Caenorhabditis elegans: one gene and its partners. The protein of the gene in region 2 interacts with the protein of the main gene of each other region in a biochemical or structural test. Each region holds a gene or a part of one and is shown on either strand. Other genes may lie near its edges.

What was found.
Region 1: the proteins of lab-1 (region 2) and gsp-2 interact in far-western blotting, tested with the Caenorhabditis elegans proteins (one study listed by BioGRID).
Region 3: the proteins of lab-1 (region 2) and gsp-1 interact in far-western blotting, tested with the Caenorhabditis elegans proteins (one study listed by BioGRID).

The regions. Positions count from the first base shown.
Region 1 is NC_003281.10:7,331,973-7,342,134, reverse strand, and holds gsp-2 (Serine/threonine-protein phosphatase PP1-beta), read right to left. Parts: upstream 5,549-10,162; 5' UTR 5,513-5,548; coding exon 5,461-5,512; intron 5,405-5,460; coding exon 5,273-5,404; intron 5,147-5,272; coding exon 4,916-5,146; intron 4,858-4,915; coding exon 4,643-4,857; intron 4,594-4,642; coding exon 4,480-4,593; intron 4,433-4,479; coding exon 4,298-4,432; intron 4,244-4,297; exon of another isoform or gene 4,133-4,243; intron 4,069-4,132; coding exon 3,946-4,068; 3' UTR 3,370-3,945; downstream 1-3,369. Other genes in the region: kap-1 (Kinesin-associated protein), read right to left, coding at 1-72, 159-377, 728-1,082, 1,213-1,300, 1,347-1,485, 1,539-1,684, 1,777-1,888, 2,244-2,481 and 2 more; F56C9.10 (BCAS3 WD40 domain-containing protein), read left to right, coding at 7,018-7,137, 8,345-8,527, 8,704-9,195, 9,300-9,722, 9,804-9,899, 9,946-10,162. UniProt on the Caenorhabditis elegans protein: Serine/threonine-protein phosphatase essential for chromosomal dynamics during meiosis and mitosis. During meiosis, promotes chromosomal cohesion and germline immortality via a small RNA-mediated genome silencing pathway.
Region 2 is NC_003279.8:9,653,148-9,662,337, reverse strand, and holds lab-1 (Long arms of the bivalent protein 1), read left to right. Parts: upstream 1-4,314; 5' UTR 4,315-4,533; coding exon 4,534-4,601; intron 4,602-4,647; coding exon 4,648-4,747; intron 4,748-4,793; coding exon 4,794-4,916; intron 4,917-4,967; coding exon 4,968-5,162; 3' UTR 5,163-5,326; downstream 5,327-9,190. Other genes in the region: npp-14 (Nuclear pore complex protein 14), read left to right, coding at 1-800, 940-1,544, 1,596-1,997; C03D6.9 (Aa_trans domain-containing protein), read left to right, coding at 3,310-3,537; asfl-1 (putative histone chaperone asf-1-like protein), read right to left, coding at 2,511-2,521, 2,619-2,769, 2,819-2,989, 3,617-3,909, 3,953-4,064; T05F1.11 (protein-disulfide reductase), read right to left, coding at 6,304-7,270, 7,414-7,616, 7,661-7,852, 8,325-8,772, 8,817-8,983, 9,146-9,190. UniProt on the Caenorhabditis elegans protein: Involved in sister chromatid cohesion during mitosis and meiosis.
Region 3 is NC_003283.11:10,678,127-10,690,066, forward strand, and holds gsp-1 (Serine/threonine-protein phosphatase PP1-alpha), read left to right. Parts: upstream 1-4,295; 5' UTR 4,296-4,402; coding exon 4,403-4,457; intron 4,458-4,787; coding exon 4,788-4,919; intron 4,920-5,178; coding exon 5,179-5,409; intron 5,410-6,119; coding exon 6,120-6,583; intron 6,584-7,615; coding exon 7,616-7,723; 3' UTR 7,724-8,379; downstream 8,380-11,940. Other genes in the region: F29F11.20 (uncharacterized protein), read left to right, coding at 9,775-9,868, 10,289-10,437. UniProt on the Caenorhabditis elegans protein: Serine/threonine-protein phosphatase which antagonizes the function of air-2 in the regulation of chromosome cohesion. Dephosphorylates histone H3 at 'Ser-10'. Dephosphorylates translation initiation factor eIF2alpha.

The DNA of each region.
Region 1 (10,162 bases), on a different chromosome or scaffold from region 2:
AAATGAAGATTTTGACTCTGAGTTGTCTGCTCCTTCATTTTTTGCAATCCCGATAAGAGTTTCAATCCACTTCTGAAAATTCTAAATTTAAATAACAACGTTCATTTTTTTTCGTTATCTATTTTCACCGTTCAATAATAATTCAGTTCTCAACTTACCAAAAACATATTCTGCGTCGCACCTTCGTGACTTGAAATCGCTCGAACAACCTTTATGAGCATTAGATCTCTCGAGTTGATAGACATTTCCATAAGAAGATCTAATCCTTGACCACGTTGTCCACATACCAACTGAGCATTTCGTTTTTCGAGGCAAATATTCAACAGGACTGCTTTTGTCACTTCACTTCCTGTTCCACTTAGCACATCTTTCATTAGCTGGAAAAATGTTTTTTTATGAATCATATCCTCGTAGCAAACGTTGGAAAAATCGGTGACTATTTGCTATGTGGCGTTATATTTAGGTTTAACAAAACATAGACCCGAGGTAAGTAGATTTTGTCTGAATTGCTATTTCAATAATGTTCAAACAATTTCAAAAAAAACAATTGATTCACAAATAAAGTAGCTCAAACGACAACCACTATTCGAATGCAAACTTGAAAATAATATCAAAAAATTTGAAAAGTTTTAGTATAGGATTGGTTTTTAACAATTTTCCACTTGCGTTTTTCCATCTTTAATGTATAGTAACTTTTCGACTATCTCCTTTGATTGACCCAACTCACCAATTTAATAGCATCGGTGTATGCTAACATTGCTTTTGCATCATCATTACAACTTAATAAATACATCATATTCAATGCCTTCGTGTCACTGTCCAATAGAGATGCCATATGTGGTACAAGACCTCCATTCACCATTTTTGGTAGATTTTTGGAGTCAAATGAAAAATTGAAAAGAAGCATTATAACTGCTTTTCGCAGTTCTGGATCTTGAATTGGAAATAGTTTCAAAAGTTTTTCGATTGTTCCATTTTGTTCCATTACAATCTTATTTTCATCAAAAATACTTAATTTAAGAAGAAACTTGATAGTTGCAGTTGTTAGTGAACTTGTAGATTCTGATGACATTTGGAGGCATCTAGAAATGTAAAATGAGTGAATGTGGTGTTAATTATTAAAGGTGGAGAGATTAAAAAAAACTGTGAAAAGTGTTACTATGATATTTCAGCATTTTACAATTTCCTCACTAACTGCGCCTTTAAACTCACTTGACAAGAAGTGCCACCAAATTTCTTCGGACCATTTTCAATTCGACACTGATATCCGTGGCTAGATTGGTAAGAAAAGTGACACATGCTGGAATTGAACCATTTTCAATGTAATATGTACAATTGCAACAAACCTGCCAATAGCATCGCCTGTTTTCGAATGGCTGTTTTTAGTTTTCTCAATGTCTCTTGATCCGTCTTTTTCATCTCAGCAATCCAAAAATCGTACCGTTTTGTTTCATGTTCCATTGCATTTACACATAAAGTACCAATCTGCAAATCTAGCTTTTAAACGAAATTCAGGTGAAGTGAAGGCGTTTAGAAACCATGCATGCCTTGTGATGAAGCAGAATTCCGTGTAAACATGAAAACTTGGAAATATTCACAAAAAGGTTCATAATATTGGTTCCAACTTCAAAGTGTTTCTTCCAGTCTTCTCGGAATACTCTTGCCAGTGCCATCATAAGAGTTTCTGAAATGTAGTGTTATTTGAACGTTAACTTTAATACATAGATTACGTCCGAAAATTATGGTCATCGGGTAAGCTTTTCTAGAATTACCTACCATTGTTCACAAGCTGTGTGAGGTTTTGAGGATTTTTTGAAAGTTCATAAAGTGCCACGGCTCCTTTGTTTTTCTCAACAGAAGTTTCACCGTAGAAGCATTCTATGTACTCCTGAAAGATACATTTTTAATTTCAAAAGTAGTTTTTCAAGTTCTATTTGGTTTTAGGCTCTCACCATAATAAGAAATCTGTTTTTATATAAATGTTGAATGATGTATAGAAAACCATTCAAAGATTATTTTAAACTAATCAGATTATTTTCGAAATAAATTTTTAGATTCTAAAATATTGGTACTACCGGATACAAAAGCACTCAAGCGAGCTTGGTTTTGTTTCAGCTGCTCCATTTTAGAACATGTAACAATTAATGTTTTCAATTTTGATATAGCCTATGCGTATTTGTAAAATAAAACCAAATGCTCCTCAACTTTACGTAATCTACAAAATGTTTTCTTATAAAACGTACATCTATTTTCCCTAATTCTGCACTAATTGTAGGACTATGAATAGGCCTTCGATCAAATGAAACGGCCGAAGAACTTCTTGATCTCGCACTTATTCGTTGATTTCCTCTTTTTTGAATGTAGAACAAAACCTGCTCCAATTGACTTCGTGACGTGGCAGGAATGAAAAGACATTTTTGAAGAATAACATTTGATAAAGCACGAATATCTACATCCAGACTCATTTCTTTCAAGTGGATTCTGTAATACAATTTGGGTAATTTTGTAGCCGTACAATGTTAGATGCAGGTGACATTTTGAGGTTCTCATATATATATATATTCGATTATTATTTTTTATCAGTTATTTTCCAATATTCTAAAAATTAAAGAGGCATGGATTCATGGGGAATGGGTCTCACAGCGAGCAAAATGCTCAAGTCAACACTTTTTGCTATTTTCGGTCGTGCGTTTTCTGTTATTCGGGGTTTTGTGAGCAATTATTAAATAACTTTTCTGTATCTTGATTGTGGTTTTTGCAACAGAAAAAATTTAAAGTGTTACCATAAACATTTTTCGCGGTGAGACCCATCCGAAAGAATACGTGCACCTTCGTGGGCATACGGTCTTAAAAATATTTTATTTTATTTTTCTTGTTAAGCAGATTTGCATTCCAGTTTAATTTTATATTTTATATCAGATTCTTACATTTTTTGATGGCCAAGAGACTCAACGTTCGCTGAAGAAGCTCGCTTTTTTATTGAAATTCCTGCTGAAGAACCTGAATCAAACTTCCAAATAATCTTCGTAACACATTCAATTGAAAATAAAAATATAAAACTTACTAGGAGATTGTTCAAATCGTACAATAATTGCCTGATCTGACGGGTGTGCATCTATTGAAACTTGATTCATTGAGCTAAACACGGAAAATCAATCGAAAAAACTCAAAAAATATTTCTCTTCATTCTGATTACCTATTATAGCTTACTGAAGAGCCGGGGCGGAGCATTTCTGAATAACTGACAAACGACAGAAATCGATGAGACGGCTCGAGGAGCACTAGTCGTGGGGGATGTCTGTTCGTCTCGCACGCTCTCCTTGGAGACGTTGCACTCGTTGTAATAAGAAATATTGCTTACACGCTTGTACCAGTGTTCTATTTTATTTGTTCGGAAAACTTTAATGAATTAAATCGACAAATGGGGGTTTTAACAATATAAAATTGAGAAACGAAGAGTACGGGATGGACGAATGAATGGAGGAAGGAAAGGAGTGGAGATTGATTGACATCATAAACATTTGTTTTAAATATTTAGACCATTTAGAGAAGTAAAATTTGATACTGTTTTAAGAGATAAGTTTAGCAAAAAAAATTAAAATTTGGAATTTAAAAACGAATAAAATGGGGATTGTTTTGATGAAAAATTGAGCCAGCAATTGGTGAGGAGTCATTAGCTCTAAATGGTCCACAGAGATAAAGAGGAAGGGATGTTGACAACGAAAGCTTGAATTGAGAGGAGATTCGCCGGGACCACAGCATCTTCTCGTGCCAGCCTAGATCATAATGAATCGAATTTAAACTTTTTCGAAACTATGTTTAAAATCAAAATTAATGTACACAACTTTTTGAAGCCGATTTACGAGAGATGGCCGAGGCCTCTTGGGGCGTGAACAACAAAGAAAAGGTTAGGTATTTACAGATGATAGATAAATCGACTGATGATTACTTCTTGGCACCCTTCTTTGGTTGCGCAGCCGGTGCGTTTCGTGGTGGGGTGACTGGTCTATTTGAACCAACTCCTCCAGCACCATATGGATATTTCTTCTTGTCTGCTGGTTTCAAGATCTGAAAAAAATATTCCGAATTGTTTTATTTTAATGTTTGATAGGTAGTTTTAGCGTTTAATAAATCACCTCAGACAAATGCCTCAATTTCACCCCGCTTAGCGGCAATTTCTTCGAAGAACTCGAATAGATAGCCAAAATAGACTCGTCTGATTTAACCATTGCATCATTGGTGAATGCATACGCATTATCAGTATTTAAAATTATATAGATGGTACCGCTATGTTTACCTGGAAAGAGCACATCAGTGTTTCATCGACAGTCATCATCGATCCCGCGTTATCAAACTCTCCACAATAATTAGGAGCGCTGAACAATGTAACCAACTGCCGCTTAGCGAAGAATTCGTAACCGTCTTCCACAACCTGAAAATTTCTCGGTTCGCAACTTTGCAGAAAATCTTAAGTAATACCTGGTGAGCTCTGCAAATCAAATCCAAATCGTGCTTGTGCAGGAATTTGGCAACAACTTCTGGTCCGAAAGTGAAAGAGACGCCTCGGTCGTTTTCTCCCCAGCCAGTGACATCCTGAAAATAAATGGTAATCATTCATTGAATTTTATGTTCACAAACGAACTTTATCAGGATCTGACCACAACAGATCGCACAACAATCCTTGATCTGGTACGTCTGTCGGCCTCATGATACGACGAATTTGCTCCATAGACTGAAGATCTGGAGAAAGTCCTCCGTGACAGCAGAAGATCTTTTCGTCGATGATGGCGGCAACTGGCAGGCAGTTAAAGCAATCGGTGAACGTCTTCCACAGTTTGATGTTGTATCGCCGCTTGCCTAAAAACATGAGATTTGAATAAATCTGTACTAAGATAATCTCAGATCAAACTCTTACACTCGTCATAGAAGCCATAAATTCTGTTGATCGAGGCACACTCGTGGTTTCCTCGGAGCAGGAAGAAATTTTCCGGGTACTTGATTTTATATGCAAGTAGGAGACAGATAGTTTCCAACGATTGTTTCCCTCGGTCCACATAATCGCCGAGGAACAAGTAGTTCGACTCTGGGGGGAATCCACCATACTCGAACAGTCTCAAAAGATCGTAGTATTGTCCGTGCACGTCACCTGAAAAATATATTTTCTCAGAATATATATTATCAAAAATAAAAACGGCAATTTCCTGTGGAAGGAAATACTAATAAGTAAAATGACTCATAGCAGGAAACGTCAACTTTTTTCGATAGAACTTACCGCAAATTTTCAACGGAGCTTCCAACTCGAGAAGAATAGGTTGGCTCAGAAAAATTTCACGAGACTTCTGGCACAACCCCTTGATCTCGCTCTCTGTGAGTTGAACATTTTTCCCTGGTTTGGATCCTCTGACTGAAGCGGAAATCATTTTAAGATTAATTTCAATAAACACTATGACAAACACATACCTTCCAATAATCTGGAGATGATATTGTCCAGATTAAGCTTTTCTACGTCCATTTGTTGCGAGAAATCGCTCAAACAACCCAATTAGATCTGCAATACGAATAGAATTACCTCTTTGAGATAATGTCAATCAACAAACGTGAAAATACGGAAAATTTAGAAAGAAAGTTTGATAATTACGTCTTTAAATCGCGTGATTACTCGAAAAGTTGATAAAAACAGCAGCAAACATGTCAAAAATCGAAAGATATTTGGAGGCGACAGGGTCAAAACGAATGAAAAGAGTGGCGGGTCTCGCCGCGAAAATGCCGCATTCAGCAGGGTACGGTGGCCGGTGGAGCGCTTTTACATGTTCTCATTTTTTCTGAATTTATCCGCTAATTTAATGATTTTGAATCTGTTTTTCTACATTTTTTCTTCTTGTTAAAATTAAAAAAAAGGGGACGTTCAAATTTTCAGAACTTCATTAGTATTGAATTGAAAAAGAGCGCGCGAAAAGGATTAACTTGGTTAGAGGGCTTTGAAAGTTGAATTTTACATTGAGGAAAATATTTCTACCATTATTTAGAAGATAAAGCTTAAAGTTTCTCTTTTCCCTGAAATTTTCACTATTTGTCAAAAACGGGGCACATATAATCGAATGATGCGCCAATTCGTCACTTTGTTTTCGACCAAGATGGCAGAGAAATTGGTTGGTGGTGAGAGATTGAAATGTGTAAATATAACAAATACACTGTTCTTCGTTCACGATTTGTCAGCAATTATGATCAGATGCAAAAACATGGGGAACAAGATGCATTAAATCTTATTAAGTGAAAGTTTAATAGATGAAAACGTAGTTATAAGAAGTTTATTTAGCATATTTTGATAAAACTTTTACTTATGAATCATTTTGAAATATGAGATTATTATAGTACTCAAAAGTTATATATTATTTAGCTAGAAATATATGAACACTTTGGTACTTCTGCATCCATGAATTCGTTCAGAAAATATATTGAAGCATTAGTTAGAAAATGAGCAGTGAGCATTTAAAAAAATCGATTGATGTCTAGTCAAGTTCAATAAGAAATAAGAAAAAAGAAAAATAGTTGGAGTGAGAAAAATCAGCAAAAAAGATGCGAGAAGTGTGGTGCTCATGGAAGCCTTCTTCTCCATCCTCCTCACAACTCCCTCCATTTCTCTGCGTCGCCTGTTCCCTCTAGTCCCTCGTGACCAACTGCAGTTTCTGTCGTTTTCTCCCCATGTCATGTCTAGCACACGTGAGAAGTGAAAAGAGAGAAAGAGAAGGGCATGATTTCGATTCTTCTGCCGCTTTTCTGTCACTGGTAACAATGCACCTTTGTCGGATCAGACACTCATAGATCGTTGATCTACCTGAAAGTTTGAGAAAAACAAAATCTCTGTTGTTTTATCTTCTCACATCTTCCTATTGATTATTTTTTCTCTTTTTTTTGTTGTCCTCTCTTCTCATTCGTTCTATCCTATCTGTTCCTGTTTGTGTTCTGTTCTTCACCACATTTTCTGAACAAATCGATAATCTGCACAGTTCGAAGAAGATGCCGCCAAACGCGAACTCTGTTGGGGGCCCGAAAAAGAAGAACAAGAAGAATCATCAACGCCCTCAACAGCAACATCAACAAACACAGCCACAACCGCTACCAGAAGAGGAACAGCCGGTAAAGTGTTACTTCATAATGATTTTTCAAAACTAAAAGTTAAAAAAATCGAATTTCAAAAAATCTCCTTTAAAAAACCGTTTAACGGATTTTTCCGTTTTCTAAAGCGCTGCAAACATCGAAACTATGCAATTATTTTCAAAGATAGATAAAATCTTAATAGATTCGGAACGCTAACGAATGTTTTTCTTATAGTACTACCCAGACGCGAAAATTCGTGCCAAAAAACGGTACTGGGTCTGGACACGACAAGTTTTTGTTGAATGTGAGCCTTTAAATAGTACTGTAATTCCAAACTTTCGATGTGTGGAGTTTACATAAATTTTTTATAGTTTTTCTTACAAATTCGATAAAAAATTCCGTAGCAACGAGTCGTGTCAAGGCCGGTTAACGTATCTTTGGCTTCTGCATACGAATGTATACATAGTATCAAACATAAGATAACTTTTAGTTTTTTCTCGTCGCAAAATAAAAAATATTAGGTATACGTCATTTCAAATGATTTTTGAATCTAGGTAAATTTGAAAAATACACAAATATATTTTACTTTTTTTGTCAAAAATTAATATTTCTTCCACCTGTTTTGCACAATTTCAACACATTGTGAAAGCACCATAACAGTGTCTGCGTCTCACTCACGATTTCATGAAATTTTCCAATATTTTCTTTCTTTTCTTCTCCACTTGATTGGCACTCCTCTATCGGTTTGACTTTCATTTCATCATCAGGTGACCACTGACCCTAACACATACACTCAAAATAATAAAACTCCGTGGCGTGTACTGCAGAAAACCTAATATTTAGACCCCGCCTTTTAATCGTCCACTCACGGGGAAAACGCAAAAAGCCGTACCCCAGGCAATATCAGCCGCCGACATCATTCGAGGTCCGCGCACCACACTATTTTTCTCACTGTTGGCGTGGCGAGCTGTCCCCCCCCCCCTCCCCTATTTTTGTCTTTTCCCCGTGAGTGGACGATTAAAAGGCGGGGCCTAAATATTAGGTTTTCTGCAGTACACGCCACGCAGTTTTATTATTTTGAGTGTACACGTTCAATGTTAATTATAACACATCATCTATTCCCATATGCTGTTTTTTCTCAATTTGAAGTGTGAACAAAAAATAAAACCAATTTACGTCTTTTGATTAACTTTGCGAGACTAATTTCCATAAAACCATTTCCATCTCAAAATTTATAAATTTCCAGGAAAACCCCATCAAGAAGGACCCAAAACCAGAAGTTTTAGAAGAAGTAGTAGAGAAGAATCGAGAAGAAGACAAAGAAAAAGTAGAAGAAACGGTGGCTCCGACCATCGAAAAAGAAAAAAACATTAGCGGGGATCTTTTGGATTTCAGCTCTTCGGATAAGAGTAGTTTGAGTAGCAGACCGGTATGTTTCTGATTTCATGTTTGAAAAATTTTGTAGAATTTAAAACTGAAAAAAGAATCGTCTCTCTAAATGTGGTAGTCTGGTTGAAATTTAAATTCTCAACAAGGACGTTTAAACTTTTTGAAATTTTTTTATAATATTAACACTCGATAACCCGTCATAATTTTTTAATTGAGAATGTGAAGGATTCGCCGGAAGAAGACGAGGACGCCGTTCCAGTGGTCAATAGGACCACAACGTCTCCTCCAACATCCCCACCGTCCCAAACAGCAGTTGAACAGGATTCTTTACAAGCTGAAGAAATGCTTGTCGATATGTCACTTGACGATGCTCCAGCTGCACCTCCAAGAAAACCACATCAGAGATCAGCACCACCACCAATTCCGTCAATGAATACGATAATGACAAAGCCAAGAACCAACTCAGTTTCTTATATCAAGGGACAAGTCGTTCGACAATCTGCTGTAGAACAACAAACTCTCGCCAATCAAGTGGTTGATTTAGTTGCGATGGGAATGTCAAAGGGACAGACACAAAGTTCACAAATAACTGCTGAAAAGGCCGAATGGGTGCAATTAACATCTGTGGAGAAAGCAGGAGAACCGAATGAAAGGCTTGAAGTGCTGATTGTTGGATTATGTCGAGGATATCAAATCTGGACGATGAGTGTAAGTTTCTAAATATTTATTTAATTGTGAAATAGAACGGAAACTTTTCTGTTTCTGTATCATACATAAATCAATTGATAAACATAAATTCCTACCGTGATTAGATGGAATTTCAGCAAAGCGGCGAATTCGAAGAGGTTCTATCAGAAAGACAAGGACCCGTGAGAGCTTTGAAAGTGCTTCCAAATAATCTTAAACTCCGTGGAAAGAAAGATTCATTCGCCGATTCCCGTCCACTTATTGCAATGGTTGATGCTTCTTCTCATCACCCTGATCGACAGTACTGCTCGGTCACCATCATCTCATTGTTAACTGGACGAGAAGTTCATAAAATCAAGTTCGAAGAGCCAGTTTGTGCTGTTAATGTGTCAGATCAATTTTTGGTCGTCTCTCTTGCAAATATGGCGTATGCCTATGACATTCTAACATTCAATGAAGTTAGGACCATTCGAACTGCACCATCCTGCGAAAACAGTCCGCCAGCACTTTCCCTGTCTTGCCAACTTTTGGCATATGCTGACACTAGTGTAGGTTTTTAAAATTTTAATTAATACTTTTGATTTATTTTAAAAGTCGCATTTGATAGAATAATTATCATTCATTTTCAGCTCGACTTGAATCTGCAAAGTAGTGGAGGACTTGCCGCTGAAGTTGAGGCAACAAGTAGTGAGAAGTATACCGATCATATTTATACTGCAATGAGCGTAAGTTGCTGATTCTAACCAATGCTTAAAAACGTTTTTGTTTTAGTACTTCAGTCGTAGCGTCAAGACAATCAGTGAATCAGTTGGTGCAGGATCGGGAAGTTCTACGAAGGCTAATCAGCCACAAGGAGTAATCACTGTTCTCAATCTGGCAGTCTCCGGAGAAGATGAATCAGATGGCGTTATGTGTCACTATGTAGCACATGTCGATCCTATTTCATATATTGCATTTTCACCTGATCAACGATTGGTTCTTTCTGCCG
Region 2 (9,190 bases):
TATCAAAGTAAGACAAGCACTTGTGAATCAAATTCAAAAACGAGGAATTGTGAAGACTAGAAACGTCATCGTGGAGTCTTATAAAAAGTCAGAAAATTCGGCAGCAATGAAAAATGATTTGCTCGATACTTCAAATCTTTCAAATGCAATTCTCAAGTTGAGTATGACACCAAGACGAGTTATGCCATCTTCTTCACTATTCTCTGCATCTCCATCTACACCATCCACTAAATCAGATGCAGCAACTCAAGCCGATGAACCTCCTATTGTTAAAACTGTCGTGGTAACAGTTGAATCACCAGCAAAGCCAATAGCTTCTGCTCCAGCTGTCTCTTCGCCATTGATAAAGCTCAATACAACAACTGCGACCACAACAATGACGACACCAAAAGTAACAGTTCCAAAAGAAGAAGCAAATAAAACACAAGATCAAAAACCAATCATTTCTACGCCAGCATCATCTTCCATTTTCTCTTCGGGTAGTTTGTTTGGAACAAAAACACAAACACCTTTAGTTTCCAAAGAAGAGTCTACATTAACAACTGGAGTGCCTTCTTTGATTAACAGTTCCCTGAGCATCAGTCCACAAGAAATCGAAAAAGCATCCTCGAAAGTGGAGACACTGAATAAAACTGAAGAAGTAAAAGATGAAAAATCTGAAAATGAAGTTACACCTGACTTGAAGTCTGAAGAGCCTAAATCATTAGAAACAAAAGTGAAAGAGGAGCCAAAACCAGCTGTTCAGACTCCAGTGAAAGAAGAGGAAACGGGAAGTAATATACAAAAAACACCAAGTTTTTGTAAGTTCCTTTTTTGTTGTTAAAAAAATGAGTTTCAACCAAAGAATGATATTCGATTAAATCGATGTAATTATATGAACATTATAAATGTATTGTTTCCATACTTTAATCAACTGAAATTTAAAAAAATTACTTTCAGCGTTCAACTCAACAACTACCCCAAAGTCGACTTCCTCCACCTCATCGATCTTTGGCGGTGGTCTTAAAACTCAAACTCCCAGCTCTTCCAACTCAACAAATATTTTTGGAGCTCGAACCACAACAACGGCCACCCCTACACCTGCATCGAACACGTCAAGTATTTTTGGAGGTGGCTCAAAAGCAGCAAGCTCTCCATTTGGAAGTTTTGGACAGGCTGGTTGCCAACCGGCTAAAACTTCGAACCCTGCAACATCTACTGCTTCTGTGACTTTTTCGTTTAATACTGGAGCAACGTCGGCATCAGCAAAGCCGGCAGGGTTTGGATCTTTCGGTGCAGGCGCCTCTGCTAAACCATCCTCCGTTTTCGGAGGTTCAGTGACTGCGCCTACAGTTCCAAATGTGGATGATGGAATGGAAGACGATTCAATGGCAAATGGTGGAGGTTCTGGAGGTTTTATGAGTGGACTTGGAAATGCGAGAACATCCAACACTTCTGGTGGAAATAATCCGTTTGCACCGAAGACGTCAACTGGGACATCAGCCAGTAGCAGTTCATGGCTTTTTGGTGGTGGTGGTAATCAACAACAACAGCAACAGCAAAAAGTATCGTTTCAAGAGTCTCATTGTATTGTAAGCATTTATTTCCTATTTCAGCCGTCGTTTTCTTTCAACACTGCCGGATCGTCAGCTCAACAAGCATCTGCACCTGCAACAGGAACGTCGTCAGTTTTTGGAGGAGCTCCGAAATTCGGATCGCAACCAGCATTTGGTGCTAAACCATTCGGAGGAGGGGCGAATGCAGGATTATCTAAAAATGCTTCAATCTTCGGAGGAGCAACATCTTCCACAACCAACAACCCTGCCACTGGTGGATTTGCTCAATTTGCATCAGGCCAGAAGACTTCATCTTTGTTCGGTGGAGGTGCAACTCCACAGACGAATACTTCTATCTTCGGTGGTGGAGCTAACACAACTCCAGCTCCGACATCTTCTGTGTTTGGAGGAGGAGCATCTGCCAATGCCAATAAACCGACATCTTTCACATCATGGCGATAATATATTTTTAATGTCTAACATATTGATTCATCAAACTTTAATTGTAGTTTATAGTCCATCTCCCCAATTATTTTCCCAAGTACTTGTTTTATTGATTATCTCGGACCGGTTATTTTGTTGTCTGTCGTGTTTTTGAATATTCATTTTCATAAATTTTGTCAATTAAGCTTCTTTAGAATTATCTATCCTTCAACTTCCAGGGGCGGAAACAAAGCCAGCCGAAAACACTCCTCAAAAATGATACATATCCACAGATTAAAACGAACGGAAAGCAACTTCATTTCAGAAAACTAAAATCTCCTTTAAAGGCAATTTGACATATATGACACTTTGAATAAAAAGTGAAGTAATTTTAGATGCAATTCAAAAATCTTACAGTAACTGATAGTGAGTATCGGAGATGAATAAAAATGCAAGTTAAGAAAGCAATATTTAAATACAAATTAACCAGATCTGAAATCGCGTTTTGTTGTATCGGAAAGGGGATCGACCATCGATTCGGTAGCTTTCGTATCAGTGTTTATCTGAACAAAAAGTTGATTATCTACAATCATAGGGAGATACAGACAAAACAAAAAATAATTAAAATCAATCTAACTTATGATTGAAAGTATCACTTACCACCCATTTCAACATCTCCACTTGCTCCATCGTGTTCCATACTTTCTTCTCCGTTCTTTTGCTCCGTTCCGTCATGTGCATTCGCCATTCGTTCGTTGAAGCTCTCGTTCAAGTCAACTTCTTCAGTATTGGGACCCGTCTCATCATCGTCCTGAATAACAGTAAATTATTATATTCAGATAATGCTAGATTCTACCCACCTCTTCCTCCTCGTCATCATCCTGCCCATCATCATGCAATGGCATAAGATCATCCTCATCGAATACTTTGTTTGCCTCTTCATCAACCGGCTCGGCGACTGGATCCTCATCAGTCCACCGAATTGGGAATGTGGTGACGCGAAGATCTTCGGTTTCGATTTTACGGGAAAGCTGAAAATTTTTGAAAATTCAAGGTCAAAACTGAATTATCTACATTTTTTAACTGAAGGAACTTTGAGATTAATTTAGAGCATTTCACTTTTTCCCTCTTTCCACAACAGATGGTTTATTACGTCATCCCATACAGTACATCTGTGTGCGTGAGCCCGATCGATGATGTCCATCTGCTCGACAGGTAGCGTGCACAACGTATTCAGTTCTCTCATTGTCATTGTCTCACTCTCAACTATTTTTCGTTCTTTATTTTTAATTATTTCATTAGTTTCATTGCTCGTTTAATAATATTTATTTATTTCCTTCAGATTGTGAAAATGAAAGCTACTGCAGCGCAAAATAATTCAACTCATGCTAGTGTAGCGACCAAAAATAGCAACTACAGAGGCGCTACATACATTTTCGACAAAGCTATCGGAGGAATTGTTTATGCAAGTTTTATAATTGCCGGAGCAATCGTCTTCGTTGGAAGTAAGGTGGAGGGCTTTATTGGACTCGACGAAAACCGTTCTGACGATCAGGAATGGACTGTCATTAGACAATAACTGGTGCTTGATTTATCAAAAATAATTTTGTGTGAATGACTTTTGAAATAAAGTGTTTTTTTCCTGAAAAGAACAGAACCTTTTCGATGAGCGGCTTTGCAGGCGGATTCTCTTTGAGCTCTTCGTCGGTGTACTCATTTGCCACAAACCATCCCATATTGATGAACTCCTGATCGTTGTACTTGCAACGAAGGAGAAGCACACTGACACCAACAATATCCTCGACTGGAATCTTTGAGATATCCGGGTGTTCTGCATCAAAGACAAACTTGTGACGTCCTTCAGGAATCGGGCCAACGAGCGCGGAATCGAGAACTTGGTCGAAGTCTCGGGAGGTTCCAGATCCAACGTACACCAATTCCCATTCGAGATCTGATTATTCTTAATTTTTATGCAGTGTAAATAATATACATACCATGTGGTAAGTGCTCAAAAACTTCAAAAGTGATCTCCATTTTGAACTTGTCGACAAACATCGCTGGATTATCGAGAATTTGGACTTGAACGATGTTAACACGTGAAGCCATCTGAATAAAAAGCTCAAAATTAGAAATTAGAAAGCAGATTCATAAACTGTTCAAACGATAGTTTTTAAAAACGAGAAACAAATCAAAAATCCCGTAAAAAGTGGTTGAAAACTCCAGCTGGATCCAGTAAAATAAAATGTCGAAAAACTTTTTCCAACTACCGTAGTTTTTTTGCACAGACGAAGGCTAATCGTGGTGAAACCCATTGAGAAACAAATTCCTGTTTTTTTTTTGTTTTTTATTCGCAAAAACGTTGACTTTATTTTCTCGGCTTTAAAAGGCAAAACTAAAGAAAAATAATACATTGAATTAGTAAAAAATTAATTGTTTTCAAATTATAGAAATTATTAAAACGAGCAAGTCAGGACGAAAATTAGAATTTTTGACCTCTCCAAGATGCGCGAAAATTTATTTTTCATTTTGTCTTTCTCAATTTCCCGTTTCACTCGATCCTCGACTTTATTCAACAATGGTGAGCCATAAGAAAAATGATCGTCCTCGCCCATTGTGGATCTTGAAAATCCATAAACGGCTTAGGTAAGCATTCAGAAGTTCCAATATTTCAAAAAGTGGTAATTTTTAGCTTGTTTGAGTTCAAGCGTTATGCAACAGGAATTGGCAAAGACGACGGACAAGACATCTCGTGGGTGCTGAAAGGAAATGCAAAGAACAATGTGTATCAGGTGATTCATTTTATTTTATATTTCCTACAAAGCTAACATTTAATAGGTTACTGTTGAAACTATGGAGAATTGTGAAACGGACGAGTGCAAGAAAGTGATCTGGGTGCCCGATGAGTTGGCAGAATCCACCGGAACGATGTTCGAAGATTTCAAGGAAGACCAACCTCAGGTATTTGACAAAACTTGTTTAGAATATATGTCAAGTCTGGAATTTTTCCAGGAATCTGTGTCTTCGATCAGTAATAATGAAGCAAATTGGGGGAGTTCTGTGAATGAATTGGACGAAAATTATGAAAAAATGCAGAAAGAGGAAACATTTGATCCATATGATTCGGATTCCGATACATCCGAGGATTCCGACTTCGATGAGGATTTTGAGGATTCTGATAAAACGATGTGTTCTGGTCAATCATGAAATTAACCATTAATCGAAAAACTTCAAACTCAAAAACGCTGTGAATAATTTTTTCAAGAAATAATGTAGTTTTAAATATTGTGATATACTAATGTGATATAAGAAATCTTAGTTTCTCGTTCAGATTCCCATTTATTCTCTCGAAGCATTGAATATATATATATATATATATTTATTCAAATCGTCGTAACAAAACAGAAAGTATAGAATAATCACCGGGAGAAACAGACTTGAATAATTTGAATGATCCTGTAAACCAAAAGTAGTTAAGGGGATCAAGTTGTGTGGGAAAAATAATTAAACGGGATAGAATTTAATCGTGATGCAAACATTTGACGGCTCATTGTCCCCGGAAGTAACTTGGACATACGGTTCCATAGGTGAAGATTGACTAGTAGGAAGCTTTCGTTGATTGATCCACAAGGGCACATCATGTACGGATATCTGGGCGAGCGAGCCTTCCTCACAGTTGATGCGGCATTCGGAAAGTGGTATTCACCAGACAGGATGTTGTGATAGGTCCTCAATATTTGAAGAATCCGCAGGTGTTGAACTGACTTTTGGTTCATCTGAGCTAGACGGTTTTCATATGATGAGTATGATAGATTGCAGCGTTGGAAGACTTTTCTCGAGAAAAACTTCAGTGGGAACTCCAGTTGTTTAATCATATTTTTAGAGATCGGGTTGTAGATTTCACATCCGTAGTTTAATATTGGCTGCACATAGATATTGTACAATTTGAAGTAAAGGCTGGCATTTGTTGAGCGGAAGGATCGAAGTAACTGCCGGCATTTGAGAAGGGCTAAGTTCGAAATGATGTTTATGTGCTTCTGGAAGTTCAGCTTGTCGTCGACGAAGATTCCAAGGTCTTTCACTGAGTCCTTTTTGGTGACTTTCATTCCGTTTGCATAATATTCATTTTTTGGATTCCGCTTTCCAAAGTGGATAACATTGGTTTTGTTTTCAGCAAGGTTCAATTTCCATTTTGCGCACCAATCGGTCACGACATTGATTGATTTTTGAATAGCGCTGACATTGTCACCAAGTAGCTTGATATCATCGGCGAATATCATGAAATGATTTTTATACTAACAAGTACAACATTAACCAAAAACATAAATACATACAAAAAAAAAAGAAATTATACAGACTTCCAGTGATTAACCAATGCTTGCGGGTTGTTGAGAAAACTAGACACTTGATCTCGTCCATCAACAGTAATAACTGTTCCGTTTGGCTTTATTATTATCAATGTTGGAATCGCATTTTTAGTGTTGAACTGCTGTAAATGCTTGCTTATTGGTGAGTCGAATGGCAAATGGAACCAATCGCCATGAGAACTTTGCAAATAATAATTCATCTCCTGTTCACTCCTGTCGCTTGAAATAAATAATATCTCGAAATTCTTATCTACTTGACTATAGAATTGTGCGAGAATTGGTGTAAAGTCACGAGATGGTTGACACCAATAACCGGAATAATACAATCCAATAACCTTTCCATCGAGCATTCGTTCAGAATATGATCCTGATGGATGTAGATGTCTGAAGAGAGGAACATTTTGGAGAAATGTACAATTGTTCATCTGCTCCATTTTGTTTGTTTCTTCTTTTTGCAATTTTTTTAATGCTCTCGATTTTTCCTCACGCCTTTTAATTTCAGCTTGTTCCGCTTTCTCCCTCATTTCAGCTTCTAATTTAATTTTTGCCTCTTCATTTTTTCTTTTCATTTCCATCTCCTCTTCCAAAACCCTTTTTCTTTTTTCTTCTTCCTTCAACTTTCGAACTCTTTCTGATTCCTCCGCTTTCCTCCTCTTTTCATCCTCTTCTTCTTTCTTTTTTCTTTCTTCTTCCTTTTTTCTTCGTATTTCTTCTAATCTTTCTTCCTCTTCTATTCTCCATCTTCTTTCATATTCCATTTGAACTTCTCGTTTAATTTCATCTCTCGTTCTATGCGGAAAATAGTTTGGTGCTGATTGTGAGTGTTCAATTACGGTAACATTCCGAATACTTGCACCAGATGAGTATGCAGATGCCAATATTTCTGGAGGAATTGGAGAATGTGAAGAACGGGATCTTATCAAATTTATCACCCGGTGTTGCTCTGATCTGAAAATTAAATTCAAGATTTTCCTTCATTTCATTTGCAGGTTGGGTATGAGGTATTTATTTCAAAAAGCAAGAGAAATACTATTCAAATAGGATAATAGATATATCACTAAGATTAAATATGTCCGTTTTGAAGTACTTACCTCTCAAGCATATGAGATCTCGATTCAAGAAGTGAGAGCATGTTATCAAACTTTCCAGAAAAACGACCAAATTTTCGTTCAACAGTTTCGAGCACTTCAATAATCGACATCATGTGGCTTGATCTAAACTTTCTATTCCCAAAAATTCGAGCAATTAATTGACAAATACTTTGCTCAAGCTTCTCTTTGTAGATCCGATTTTCCTACAATTGTATTTTCAAAATAATCATTACAGAACCAGACTCACAAGACTTATATTCAAAAGCAAGGCAACAAGAATATTCAAATTTGCCAAGCATTTTTCAATTTGTGGCGTTTCGACTGAAAACAAATTTTCGCAATTCACAAGTACTTCCTTCTTCGTTTCATCGTTATCAAGCAAAGCGTTTATCAGTTTTAGTAAATTTCGATTGTTTGAGTTTTCATATTCCCAAGTTGCCTGCAATAAAAATGATTGTAGAGGTGGAATGAAAATAAAAAGATTCATAAATGATTCAAAGTGCGTTTTCAATTTCAACTGGGAAAAAATATCAAACAATTAGATATCTAGCTAGATAAAAGTATAGAACAAAAAAGTTGGTTCTAGTTCTAGTCGAGCTCTAGCACGAGTAGCGCATATTTTGTACTTCGTTTATTTTGGCAAAATATTGTAATATTTAAAAGTAGAATAGCATGAATTTGTCCAGATAATAATAAGTTAACTATAAAATAACCAAAGAAAAATACCCATTTTTGGTCGAGTTCCAAAACTGGCGAAAGTGGCAAAAACTTGGTACTTGCCATTTTTGACTGCCAATAAATTTCAAAAGAAAACATTTGTTTCAATAGTTTTAATATGATATTTGGTTAAAGGACTGGATTTTAACAATTCCCCCATCAAAATTATTTTATAATGTGAGAAAAAAACTAACAATTTCAATAATCATTCCAAATGCAACATTCTTCTGTTGTTGATCAAGTTTTTCTAGAAGTGTTACAATCTCCGATGACCAAAACGTTATTTCCACTTTCTTTTTCAATTCGATAAATTTTTCACAAATTAATTTAATCTTTTGTAAAGCGAGAGAATTGTTAATTGAACAAATCCATGATGCATTATTCACTTTGTAGCGAATTTCATCATGAGCAGCAGTTGAACTTAAAATTCGAACTTGCTCGAACCCAGAACTCAGAAAACTGCAAACTTTCTGCTCTCTTCTTCCAAAATTCGAGTTTTGAATTCTTAGACCGTTTAATTTGTTTCTTGCTGATTCCAACTCAAAATGCCTTTCCTCTGAACTTAGCTTCTCATTTCGAATTTCTTCCAATTCATTATGATTGTTATATCGACTCAAACCATCTGTCAGTGATGCAATATACCTGAAAATAGTTATAAAGTATTTTATATGGGCACAATCACTAACTTTTCCTGAAATTCAATATCTCTACCAACAATGAATTGCTGAAGTTCAATAGATTCCAATAACTTTTTCTTTACCAATTCGATGAGCTCTTCTTGAATTCCAGAGACTACAGAAATCTGAGCAAATTGCACATACTCATCATTTGCTCTTTCTGGTGGATGATCATTCTGAAATAAGCTATATTTTATTTAATGAACTTCAACCGGACATGTTAAGCCTACCTTGTAGGCATGGCTTTTCTATAAGAGAACACATTTCCAACTCTTTTTTTTTGAATAAAAATTGAATAATTTCACAAAATTTACACAACTATTTATAACCTAGCCTACCTCAGACACAAGTTCGACAATTCTAAGAGGTGTTCCGTTGTTCAG
Region 3 (11,940 bases), on a different chromosome or scaffold from region 2:
CTCCTTTTCTTCCAGACATGCTTTAGAGAACAACTTCCTGTTTTGAACCATTTACTGAATGGGTGGGAGTAGATCTTTGTTATCATTAATTATTCTCTGGAATTGGAAAAAAAAACAAAAGAGGTGGGAATTCTAAAAGTATCATATTTCTTCAGAAAATGATCAGAAACTTTTTATGGTGAATGAATGAAAATTTTAGGTATTGGTTTAACAAAATATATATATATTGGTTTCATTTTTTTCACTCCACTTACTTGATGGGTTTACAATTGGTTTGTTTTCATTGTTAGAAATAATTGTGAAAGCATTAAATTCGAGATTTGTTCTATGATATATAGTCTGTCAGACATTTCCTTATTAGATACAGGTGGGCGTTAATTATTTCTTGGTATTTATCAAATTTAGTTCCAAAGTTGATAAACCCGGTGGGCGAATTTCAAAGCACTTGGGTATTGTAGTTGTACACTTAAAATGTTTGTAATTCTTTGTTTCAATCAAAACATGATCATTTATGGCATCATTATTTTTATTTGGAGACTTAGAAAAAATCAAGTCTAAGCCTGAAATTTCATTTTGTGTTTAAATGGAAATTAAATATATTTTCAACAAAAAAACAATATGACCACAAGTGACAAACCAACTTTAAATCTTACATTTTGTATAAATGTTTCCGTTTTAATTGGCCTATTCTATGATTCATAGTTGACGGTGGCGTGTTCAATGAGTTCAAAAGATGAAGTATGTTTTGTTACTTACCTTTTCTTATTTCAATATTTTTAAACAAAAAAGACAAGTGAAATCGATACGTGTCTCCGATGCTCTTGATCTTTATCCCTTTTTCAACACAAAACACACGTCTTTCTATTCATTGTTACACAAAACATTGACTTATATGACCTGTGTCTTTTGATTGTGTATTCTGGTCCTGAAGTGTTTTGAAATTTAAAATAAACGTCTGTTATGCTTACTATTAGGTATTCTGAAGCCGTCACATTGTACTCTCTTTCTCTCTGTTTCTGTGGATTCATTTTTCTTTTTTAGTCTTGGTCATCTGGAAGAATAAGAAACAGAACGTTTCTTCGTAATTCGATTAGGAGGAAGTGGTCGGAGAATGACTTGAATCATTCCGAATGTTGCCGCTGGTGATGTGAAAGATGTATATTTCTCTAAATCTCGTCAATTGTTCTGACCTTATTGCTATACTATCGCTTCGTTCCGACACTTTCCCATCGTTTATTGGGAAATTTCACATCGAATACAGACGAGACAGTCAGTTCATAACGAATTCACTGTTATTTCCCATTTTAAACTCCCGAGATGTTTGTTTATGCCTTTATAATAACGATTCATTCGAAAAGAGCCAAAAATGTTAAATTAAAAATTTCTTGGAATATGGTGATTGAATATTATATAGAATTTTTATTTAAAAAACTGATACTCCTCCCACTCACGAACTCTTTTGGACAGCTGATTCAATGTTCTTCAAAAACTTGCTGAGTTTTCACTTTTTGCTCACGAATATCTAAAAATTAAGCTAAGCTAGCTGAAAATCATCAACTGATAAAAAACATACAATTACCGTACTTGTCTTTGAAGGCTTCTGTTCTATCTCGTAGTTACTGAGTCGACTCAGCGCTATTTGAAAGCAGATAGCAAATAAATAACGAATGATTCTAGCCATAGACTTTTTCGATACATATTTTCAATGTGATCTTATTAATTGCGGCTACAGTATGTTGAATAACTAAATCACATTCTGTTTTCATTACATATTTCATTAGAAGCATGTACCTAAACTTTTTTATACGAAAAATCTTAATTGCATCTGTATGCTCATATATAGTAACATTTGATTGAATCAGTCTTTATTTTCCAGCACAAGGCGTTCCTTCGAGCCCAAAGAAACGGTTTTTCTTCCCGGTCTCTGCGCCTTGTCATCTTCGTTTTTCTTCCTATTTTTCGCCCTCTCAAAAACTTGCGGTTACTTGTTTAGTCAACAACTTTTTTTGCTTCTGCTTCTGCGCGATTCAATAAATTGAATTCGAGACCCTCATCTCAACGTGAGCATCTCGTTGCCCCGTCCGTCCCTGCTTTCCTCCTCTTTTTTCATTTCCTTTCGGTCTTATTTTGCCTTCTCTCGATCTTTTTCACATGTGCTTACGTTTTCTTTCACCTCAATCAAAGCTCGAACATGATACTAAATTTTCGTGAGAAAAGTTTTTGACTAATAATTGTTTTTAGCTGTTTATTTGAAAGCGTAATTCCGAAATTTTCACAAATCTCCAAAAAAGGAGCCTAGTACGGTGGTTTTTTGTGTGCAATTGTGCGTCAACTTGTGAACAGTGTTTGCGGACTTTCAAAATAATTTTTGTCCTATTGCATTTTTTGAATGTTTTTCATCGCTTTTTTCGTTTATGAAACTGTTTATGTTACGAAATCAAGTAGTTTTATTCTTTTTTAAATAATTTTCGTTTGATATAACTATTTTCCGTAATGTCATAGAGGCTTAAGGTGATTTGAATGACTTCTTGGGGTATTTATTCCAGAATTTATTTATTTCGATTGAATAGAAAAGAAGTTGGTTTAAAATATGAATAACATGTGTTATCATTTAGTTTATATTGTTAACATTATATTAGTCATCGAAAAGTTTTACACCGCGCAATGAAAAGAAAAATAATTACGAAATTTTATGGCTCGTAAATAGTTCTTTTTGTAACATTTTGTTGGCAGAAACATACAATTTGTCATAATTTTATGCTTAATAATAAAAAATTGTTTATTAAGTGTTGTTTGAAAAAAGTCTGGAATGTCGTATATCTTTACCGCACAGGAAGTGTTTGCCTTTCTCAATCTTTTCTTTCTCGTCGTCGTTTCCTCTTTTCGAAACGTTCTGCGTGCAAATCAAATACTTGTACATCTCGTTTTGCCCATTTGTTCTAGAGAAGAGAAAGAAAGAGCACCTCAAGCTTCTCTAGCCGTTTTTTATTGTTGTTTTTTCTCACAAGAATAAGCGTTACCCTTTTCAAAAGATAACAGACTATGCGCAAAGTGTGATAAGAAAACCTTCTCGGAAGTTGTCGCCGTTTTTGATTCCATGACGTCTTACACGATGTCAGTAGTGTCGAACCAATATCGCACGTGCCACCGGAGGTAGTGCAATAACATTGCGAATTGTTTCGGCGAAAGAATGGAAACGACGGTGGCGAGTTATCGATCAATACTGCGGGCAGTGGCCGGTGGATCGGCGCGCGTTCGTCTCTCGCTCCACTCGTACACTCACACATAGGGACAGGCACATACACATGCGTCTCAGTCCGTCGTCACTTTTCGCTCCTCTTTTTATACGCGGCATTTCATCCCGATCTCCTCATTTTCCTCCACTATTGATGAACCTACTTTGCTTGACTACAGCCACACATGTTTCTCTTTGAAAGCTTCTGTTTTCTCTCTATCATATCTTCACCATTTCCTTTTTCTAGTGCTGTAAAGTTATCCGCCTGCTGTGACGACGGTGTCGTGTTTATGACATGTTCCTCCTCGGGGTCGTTGATAACGGCAAAGAGAAGGAACGGGCGTCGTCTCGTTACCGTTTTCCGATAAAACTATATAGGTGTATAACTTGAAATTGGCCAGAAAAAAAAAGAGTATTAGAGTAGCTTCGATTTGCCTCAAGGTGCATAAAGCGGTGATTCACGTTTCGAATTTGAGAGACGCAGGTGTTTAAGTGAATATGGTCTCAGTTTGCTCCCCAATTCTTTTTGTTGTCTTTTGCTACCACAGGACGAAGGAATTTCTCTTAGTACACCAACAAACTTTTTTCTTCAAGGCATCAGTTGCTCGTTTTCTATTTTCAATGTTTAGAAACAGTATAGCACAAATTTCACATAATTCAGTTTTTTTGTTTGTTTTCACGACACGCGTTTGTTGCCTTTTCAAATTCAAAATTTGCATATCGATTGTTAAAAACCATGTGTTCTTTCTTTCTCAAACATTTTAATATTGTGTCCATCACGTCATCGAGTTTCCGATTGAAACAAATCACTTTAAGGTTTTTATTCTTCAAAAATATAATCCAATCAGGAAATTTGAAAACTATATTATATTCGCATTACAATTTCTTGATAAAATTCTCATTTTTGCATTTTTCCTCTTGGAATTGTAATGATACGCATCACATCCTACTGCTGTTGTTTTTTGATGCTTTTTAAGCTTAGTCTTATCAATTTTCTCACGTTTTCCTTGAAGTTTTTTTTAAATTCTCACGCCAACGTTACTAATTTTTTATCTTTCAGCCACAACCAATATCAGTTGTCGGCCAAAAACATTGCAAGAACATACATCACTTGCCATCCATCAAAAGTGACCAACAGAAGCCGCGGAGATTGCAGCTGCAAAAACAATGTCGAACGATGGAGATTTAAACATTGACAATCTGATCACCAGACTTCTTGAAGGTGGGTTTTAAAGTTAATAGAGAAATTGATCTAATATCGACATTCGAACTAAACCAGCTGTATAGTTGTTCAGAAATTTTATTGAATTTTATTTGTTTGAAATTCCGACTAGAAATTCCAAATATTCTGGTTTTGAGGAATTTTGTTTAATATAGCAATTATCATTATTTATTATGGTTGGCAACTATTTATTTCAATAATTTCTGTCATTTTTCCACTTTCCGATTTTTACGGTCGTAAAAAATTTAATTAATATTTAAAATTTTACTAATTCTCTTTAAAGCTTATTTTAAGTGACTAATTTGATTTTTCAATAAAATTATTTTTCAGTTCGCGGATGTCGTCCAGGAAAGCCAGTTACCATGTCGGAGGCGGAGATCCGTGCTCTTTGTCATAAATCTCGTGAGATCTTCCTATCACAGCCAATTCTTCTGGAACTCGAAGCACCTCTCAAGATTTGTGGTGAGTTTTTTTATTATTCAAAAACCGTTTTTGTGTCTGCAATGTAAGAGACGACTAGAGAATATGGTCAATAGTCTTCGATTATTTATAAATTCTGTCTAAAAATTCAAAGATAGTTCAATTATTTAGTAAAAACATCACTGAACGTATGTGATTATTGGAAAAAAAGTCCGAATGTCATTGAAAAGTTTCGCAGCATACAATTTAGAATGTTAATTTCTCTAAAAGTTCAATATGAATGAGAAATATTTAATTTTAGGAGACATACATGGACAATATAACGACTTGCTCCGTTTATTCGAATACGGAGGATTCCCACCAGAGGCCAATTACTTGTTCCTCGGAGATTATGTCGATCGTGGAAAGCAGAGCTTGGAAACAATTTGCTTGTTGCTCGCATACAAAGTCAAATATCCAGAAAACTTTTTCCTTCTTCGTGGAAACCACGAATGTGCTTCAATTAACCGTATTTATGGATTCTACGATGAATGTAAGGTTTTTTTTTGCTTTAAAGAAAATTCGAAATATTAATTGAGATATTACGTGTCCATGATTTGATGAAAACTGCGGAGACGCCTGCGTCTCTCTTCTCCACACGCTCTCTCGCCATAGGCGTTTTGCATAGGCGTTAGATAGCATGCGAGAAAAAGAGACGCAGGTGCTTTTTGCGCTTAAGATATGGCGATTTTTCTCACCCGCACATGGATACGTAATAACAAATTATTCCAAAACAAAATATTCGCTTTTTTTTAAATTTTCATACGCCCGTTCACATCAAGTAGAAACTTTCTCCGGATGACAAAAAGATTCTTAATAACCATGCATCGGTTGTGTATATTTTAATTTATATTTCAACGAAAAATTCCATTAAATTCTGGGTTATTAAAATTTGTCCAGTTCAATCAGCAAATTTCGATAGTTAAAAAAGGAAAATTATGTCAATTATTTTTTCAAAATAACAGAATAATTACAATTTTCAATCAATGTAAAAATTTGGAGAACAATAGCTACTGAATTCTTTGAAAAAATCAGTATATTTTGAAGATTTTCTTATTTCTCTTTTTTTCAGATTCTTATACTCAAATTTTCATCAAATATCAAAAAAAAACGACCAGGTCCTCAAATTTTAATTTAATAATTTTTAGAAGTAAAAATTGCTGGAATTGTTATTGAAAAGTCTTTAAACCAAATAATTTTCAGGTAAGAGACGTTTTTCGATCAAATTGTGGAAAACTTTCACCGATTGCTTCAACTGTCTTCCAATTGCTGCACTCATTGATGAGAAGATCTTCTGCTGTCACGGAGGACTCTCCCCAGATCTCCAAAATATGGAACAAATTCGCCGTGTGATGCGACCAACCGATGTTCCTGATACTGGATTGTTGTGCGATTTGCTCTGGTCTGATCCAGACAAGGATGTTACCGGATGGGGAGAAAATGATAGAGGAGTCTCGTTCACATTTGGACCTGATGTCGTTGCAAAGTTTTTGAACAGACATGATTTGGATCTGATATGCAGAGCTCATCAGGTCGTCGAAGATGGATATGAGTTCTTTGCTAAGCGACAACTTGTCACACTATTCTCTGCTCCAAATTATTGTGGAGAATTCGATAACGCTGGTGGAATGATGAGCGTTGATGAGACATTAATGTGCAGTTTCCAGGTAAGAATATTTCTGTTATGTATTCGAAGGCCGAACAAGGAGAGAAGACGAGTAGTTTATTACATTACTAAACTAAGGAATAAATAAGTTAGTTCATAGAGTTCACGTTATACGATCTTCTTAGCCACGTCGTGGGTCAATACACGTTCCAACAATTTCATTCTTTTTCCAAATATTCCAGATCCCCGAAATGGAATAAATTCAAACAAGATGGAAAATCAGAAACCAATTTTCTAAATGTGTTTACAATTGATTTTTAAATTAGGGGTCGGGCATCCTTGGTCAAGAGGAACCGATTTCGAAAAATTGAAACCTCGTGAGATTGAAAATCGAATTTATGTAAAAGTTCCTGCTCTTCAAATTTAATTTTGGCTGGGAACTCATTGAACATTCGCATCACATCAAGAAATAATCTAGCATGAGATGAACCTTTTTAGAGAAAAACGGCACCGGCATATTTACAAATTCGTATTAAAATGATCGAGAAAATTAGAATGCTAGTGGCTGTGTATTTCACGTGAAAAAAACTATCAAATTCTTTAATTTTGAATATATTTCACAAAATCTCGTGAAATTTGTATCAAAAATCAATAATTTTTCGTAAATCTTAGAAATCTCAGGAACCGAAAATGAGCTGTATTAGTATTTCACCTTCCATCTTCTTTCTTTTCCATATCAAAATATGAGAGAAAAAGTACCATCAAACGGTACTTCTTTATTAAAATCCTACATTTCGGAAAAAATTTAAAATGTTTAAATATATAATGTTGATAATTGTTCAGTTAGTGACAATTTGTTCTTTTCCCGAAAAAACAATCTAACTCAAGTAGTTGCATCCCATGTTACGTCAAAACTCTTTTTCTTCCAATATCCTCTTGAACCTATCGGGAAATAATGACCAAACTGAACCATCAGTGATTATTAGATAATTTTATACTCAAAAAGCTTATAGAATTAATTTTGATCGGATAAGACTGAAATTGTTTTTTTTCAAATAAATTAGAAAAATTTGATTCATTATTTATTTTACAGATTCTGAAACCATCGGAGAAAAAAGCGAAATATCAGTATCAAGGAATGAACAGTGGACGACCAGCAGTGGGCGGAGGACGGCCTGGAACGACTGCTGGTAAGAAGTAAAGTGATGAGGAGAAAGAACATTTTTGCCTACATTTTTACTCATTTCTCTCGGATTTTTACTTTTCTGTCCGTTTTTTTTGAATTTCCCTTCTCTTTTATCTCAAACATTTTATTATTTTCTCGCCCTCAATACACCCCACCCCGCACAAAAACGAGTTTTAAATGCTCTTCATTATTATTTTCTTTTCTGATTTTCTATTTTTGTGCAACTGTACTCGATCGAATATAATTTAATTTTTCTGGCGAGTACAGATTGCAAATCTTTCTCTCTCTCCTTCTGTGTTCTCCATTTTTAGCTAAATTTTCTCATATATTTTTTTTCTGATTGCCTCTCTTTTTCCATTTGCTCTTATCCTGTTTTATTCTTAGTTGTGAGCCTAACACACCGGGATCAAAATCCTTCCGATTTAAAGTTGCAGCTTATTTATTCTTACAATGTTAATCACACAAACATTCTGAAAGTACGAGAGCGAATTCGTTCTTATTTTTTAGAATATTGAATTCTGATCCGCCCCAACAACACGCACACTGATAATTTTCTATGGTTTTTATTCGAAAATAGTGAATTTTTCTCGACAGCTCCCCCCGTTCCTTTTTCTCGCCCCCATTTCCTTCTTTCTTTCCTCCAACTGATTCCAATGAATATTTTTTCCAAAAGGTTTCTCTTGCGCAAGAACCAGTCACTCAAATTTTGTGTGTGTGTGTTTGGTCAAAGTATTTATAAAACACATACTGTCTTCAGGCAAAAAAATAATGGAAAAAGTATGAATCACATTGTTTGGAATGAGTACAAGAATAGAAATAAAATGTTCGTTGGATGGAAAAAGAATAAAGAGAAGGAATCCTGCCAAGGGAAACCAATTACTTCTGAAACATTAAATCAAGATCAGGGAAATTTAATATTTCAGAAATAACTGCAACACATAATCCTTTAAACTGGGCAATTATTTTTTAAAAATTCTATTTGGTAGTTTTCAGAATGGATTTCGTCGCCAAAATAATGTTATTTATAAACCATTCGACTCAATAATACGATACCTGGACCCGGCACGACTGTAATATTTTTTAATGATTTCTGTGAAAAGCAGTGTGCGTCTTTCAAGAGTACAGTAGTTTACACTTCTGACTGCTGCACAATGTTTTCAATTTTTCGCTTTATTTTCTTTTGAAAGTTCCTTATTTTCAGAAATTTAAAGTATGCATGTGAAAAAAACTATTTTACAGAAAAATGTGAAGGAATCTTAAGATGTGAAAAATCGAAGAAAATTGCATTCTACAGCAGAACGGAATGGACGCCACTGTAATCATTAAAGGCGCAGTCTTTTTTCTCGCAGCTTTTATTAAAACATTTTTTCGTGACGAGACCGGGTACCGTATCCCAGCGTCATTACAATTTTCACATCTGGGAATATTGTGTTGTTCTTTATTAAGGAAAAGTTAACAAAAAACACTTTTGTTGTGATTTTGCGAATTAAATGAGGTCCCGTGTGCGCCTTTAATGAATACTGTAATATCAAACTCTTGTTGCTTCGGAATTTTCATAGATTGTTCATAGTGTTTCACACGATTTTTTAACATTCATATGCTTTGTTTTTCGTTTTCTTGATTAAATTTTTCTTCAAACAATGAATGATTAATGAAAATTCCGAAGCAATAGCTTGAAATTACAGTAATTATTAAAGGCACACGCCTTTTCGCATTTAACGAACGTTTGTCGTGTCGAGACCGGGGACCTTATTTTTTAGATCGCAAAATCTTGCCGTGTAATAAAATCCTCGCATTCCAATTTCAAAATGCTCAAAGTTCTTAATATGTGTGTGGTTTGAACTCATAGTTTGCTCTACAGTGCCGTAATACGAGACGGAGCACACAGGTTAAGACGTGTTTGAGCAGCATTTCACAGTTTGTCGCAAAAACTTCGAACAGTTTTTTGCCCGTTTCGCAGACAACTTTGAGAGTTTACGAGAGTATTTCACAAGTAAATACATTATTTCCTTCAATTGTTGCCACTCGGTCTCATTGACTGTGTTTCACATTATTTGCAATTGAAAATGTTCCAGTTGTTTAAAGCTCCGCCCATTGCAGTTCGCTTAGATAGAGAAAAACAGAGAGGAATCATCAGACGACAAGATTATTGCTTTTTTGGTGGGTTTTTTCAAATGTATAATTCAGCCTATAAAAGGTAAACTTCATTTTAACCAAGATGGTTTTAAATTTTACTTTAGCTCTAGTAAACATGGTTTTTTAAATGTTATTTTTTCCTTTAGTTAAGTTGTGATTGGACGTAAATTATGAGTGATTCCATAGTTAAAACATTCAATAGGATGGGTCTCGCCGTGATAAAAATTTATGGTAGAATTTTTTACATTTATTATGCATTCTTAATTAATTTGTATTTATTACTTAAAGACTTGTTAATAGTGACAAATATCTGTAAAATTCACCAATGAATCCCGGTTTTCAAAATTTAAATTTCTAAAATCAATAGTTTTTCCTTCTCAACTCTCGAGGAAAAATTTGTCTCTAAAGCATCTAAAAACAAAATGATATCATGTATTTGCACAGGTATGCTCAATTCGTCCATGATTGAACAACAATTACCGTATCTTATGAGTTTTCCAATCCAGATACTTATTTATTTTGAGCGATATAATTTGGTCATAACTCAATCATTCCATTTGGTATTTACCAATGGATATTTGAAATACCAGTAAGCTCTCATCTCTCAACCAACCGCATTGTCTTGTCAATAGTCCACTTCTCGCTGTTCTTTTTCATTTCACCCGCCTCCACTTTACCCTCTCAATAATACGTCATTTTCCCTCATCTTTTTCACGTACATTCTCATTTGGCAGATTTTGAGAAATTAAAATAAATTTTTATCTTTTTGCATCTTTTTCTCTATTCTTTAGCCATTTTTACCTTATTCCCATTTTCTCATTAAAAAAAAACCGGTGTCAGCTGACCGGTCTGCCAACCGAATTTTTAGAAAATTCCGTCAAAATTTTTGTGTTTCTCTGACAACCGAACGAGGCAAAAAAAGAAGAGGAGATGACATCTTGTTGAAACCCGTTTGGAGTTGGAAAAAAAATTGGACGAGTAATGGGAAAAATGACCAGAAAAGACGACCGTACAAGAAGATGAAGAATTGAATTTCGAGATGAACGAAGGAAATCGTGAGATATTTTGTAGAAAAATGAAATATTCACTGGGAAATAGAAGAAAAGTATAAAATTTCAGAAAAAATTTGATTTGAATAAAATTTGATTTTAGGTTCAAAAGTCAACCCCTCCCACCTAATAAAAGTTCAATATTTGAGAATATTCATCTCTGAACAACATAGTCTTCATGGCAAAATCATCAGACATTAGGGCTCTCGGACATTAGAAATACTTGATTTCTCAATGACACACACTTAAATTTCGTAGTAAATCAAACCTAAAATTTTAAATTCGTCAGAATTTTTTTTGAAACATGTAAAACATAGTTATTTAAAAGTGCTAAAAAGTGACTAGCGCGTCAAGCGCGCTAGGCTTCGCAGTAGATTAAGTTGGTAAACTGGGGAAAATTTGGATCTTTTTTAACCAAAATTGACTGAGCCATGGCCATTTGAAGATAATATTTTTTCTGGGTCTTTTTTAAGTGTATTCGGGCCTGCGGCACTCATCCTGATTTATTGGGCTCAGAATAGGCTTAATGGCTGTCCAATACTTTTATGTATTCGGGCCTGCGGCCCTCAATCCGGATTACCTGACCATTCCAAAAACAGACGTAGTTATGGAAACATACGTCTCATAGAAGGCCTCCAGCCTGCTCTGCTGGGAGTAGGGATAGAAAAGGTCTAAAGTTTCTAAGAGTAAAAAGGATTTTTTGGGTTTGAGTGAAAAACAATAGCATTGCAGGCCTCCAGCCTGCCCTGCTGGAAGTGAGGTTTAAAGTGACCAAAATGTCCGAGAAGTGCGGTCCTCAATAGGATTAGAGAAAAAGTAAAAATCTTGAAAAATCTTTAAAATTAAATTCTCCTCACGTTATAAAAATAAGAAATGAAAATTATCGAATTCATCCCCAAAAATAGAGAGTGGTAGGAAAGTTTTTCACGTTTAATCCATCTTTTTAATTTTGCAAAATTTGAATGATGGCCTACATTTTGGAAAGTTGGTCAATTTTTTTCAAAATAGTTTCAAAAAATTGGTAATTCGAAGTTCTCTCTTGTGCTC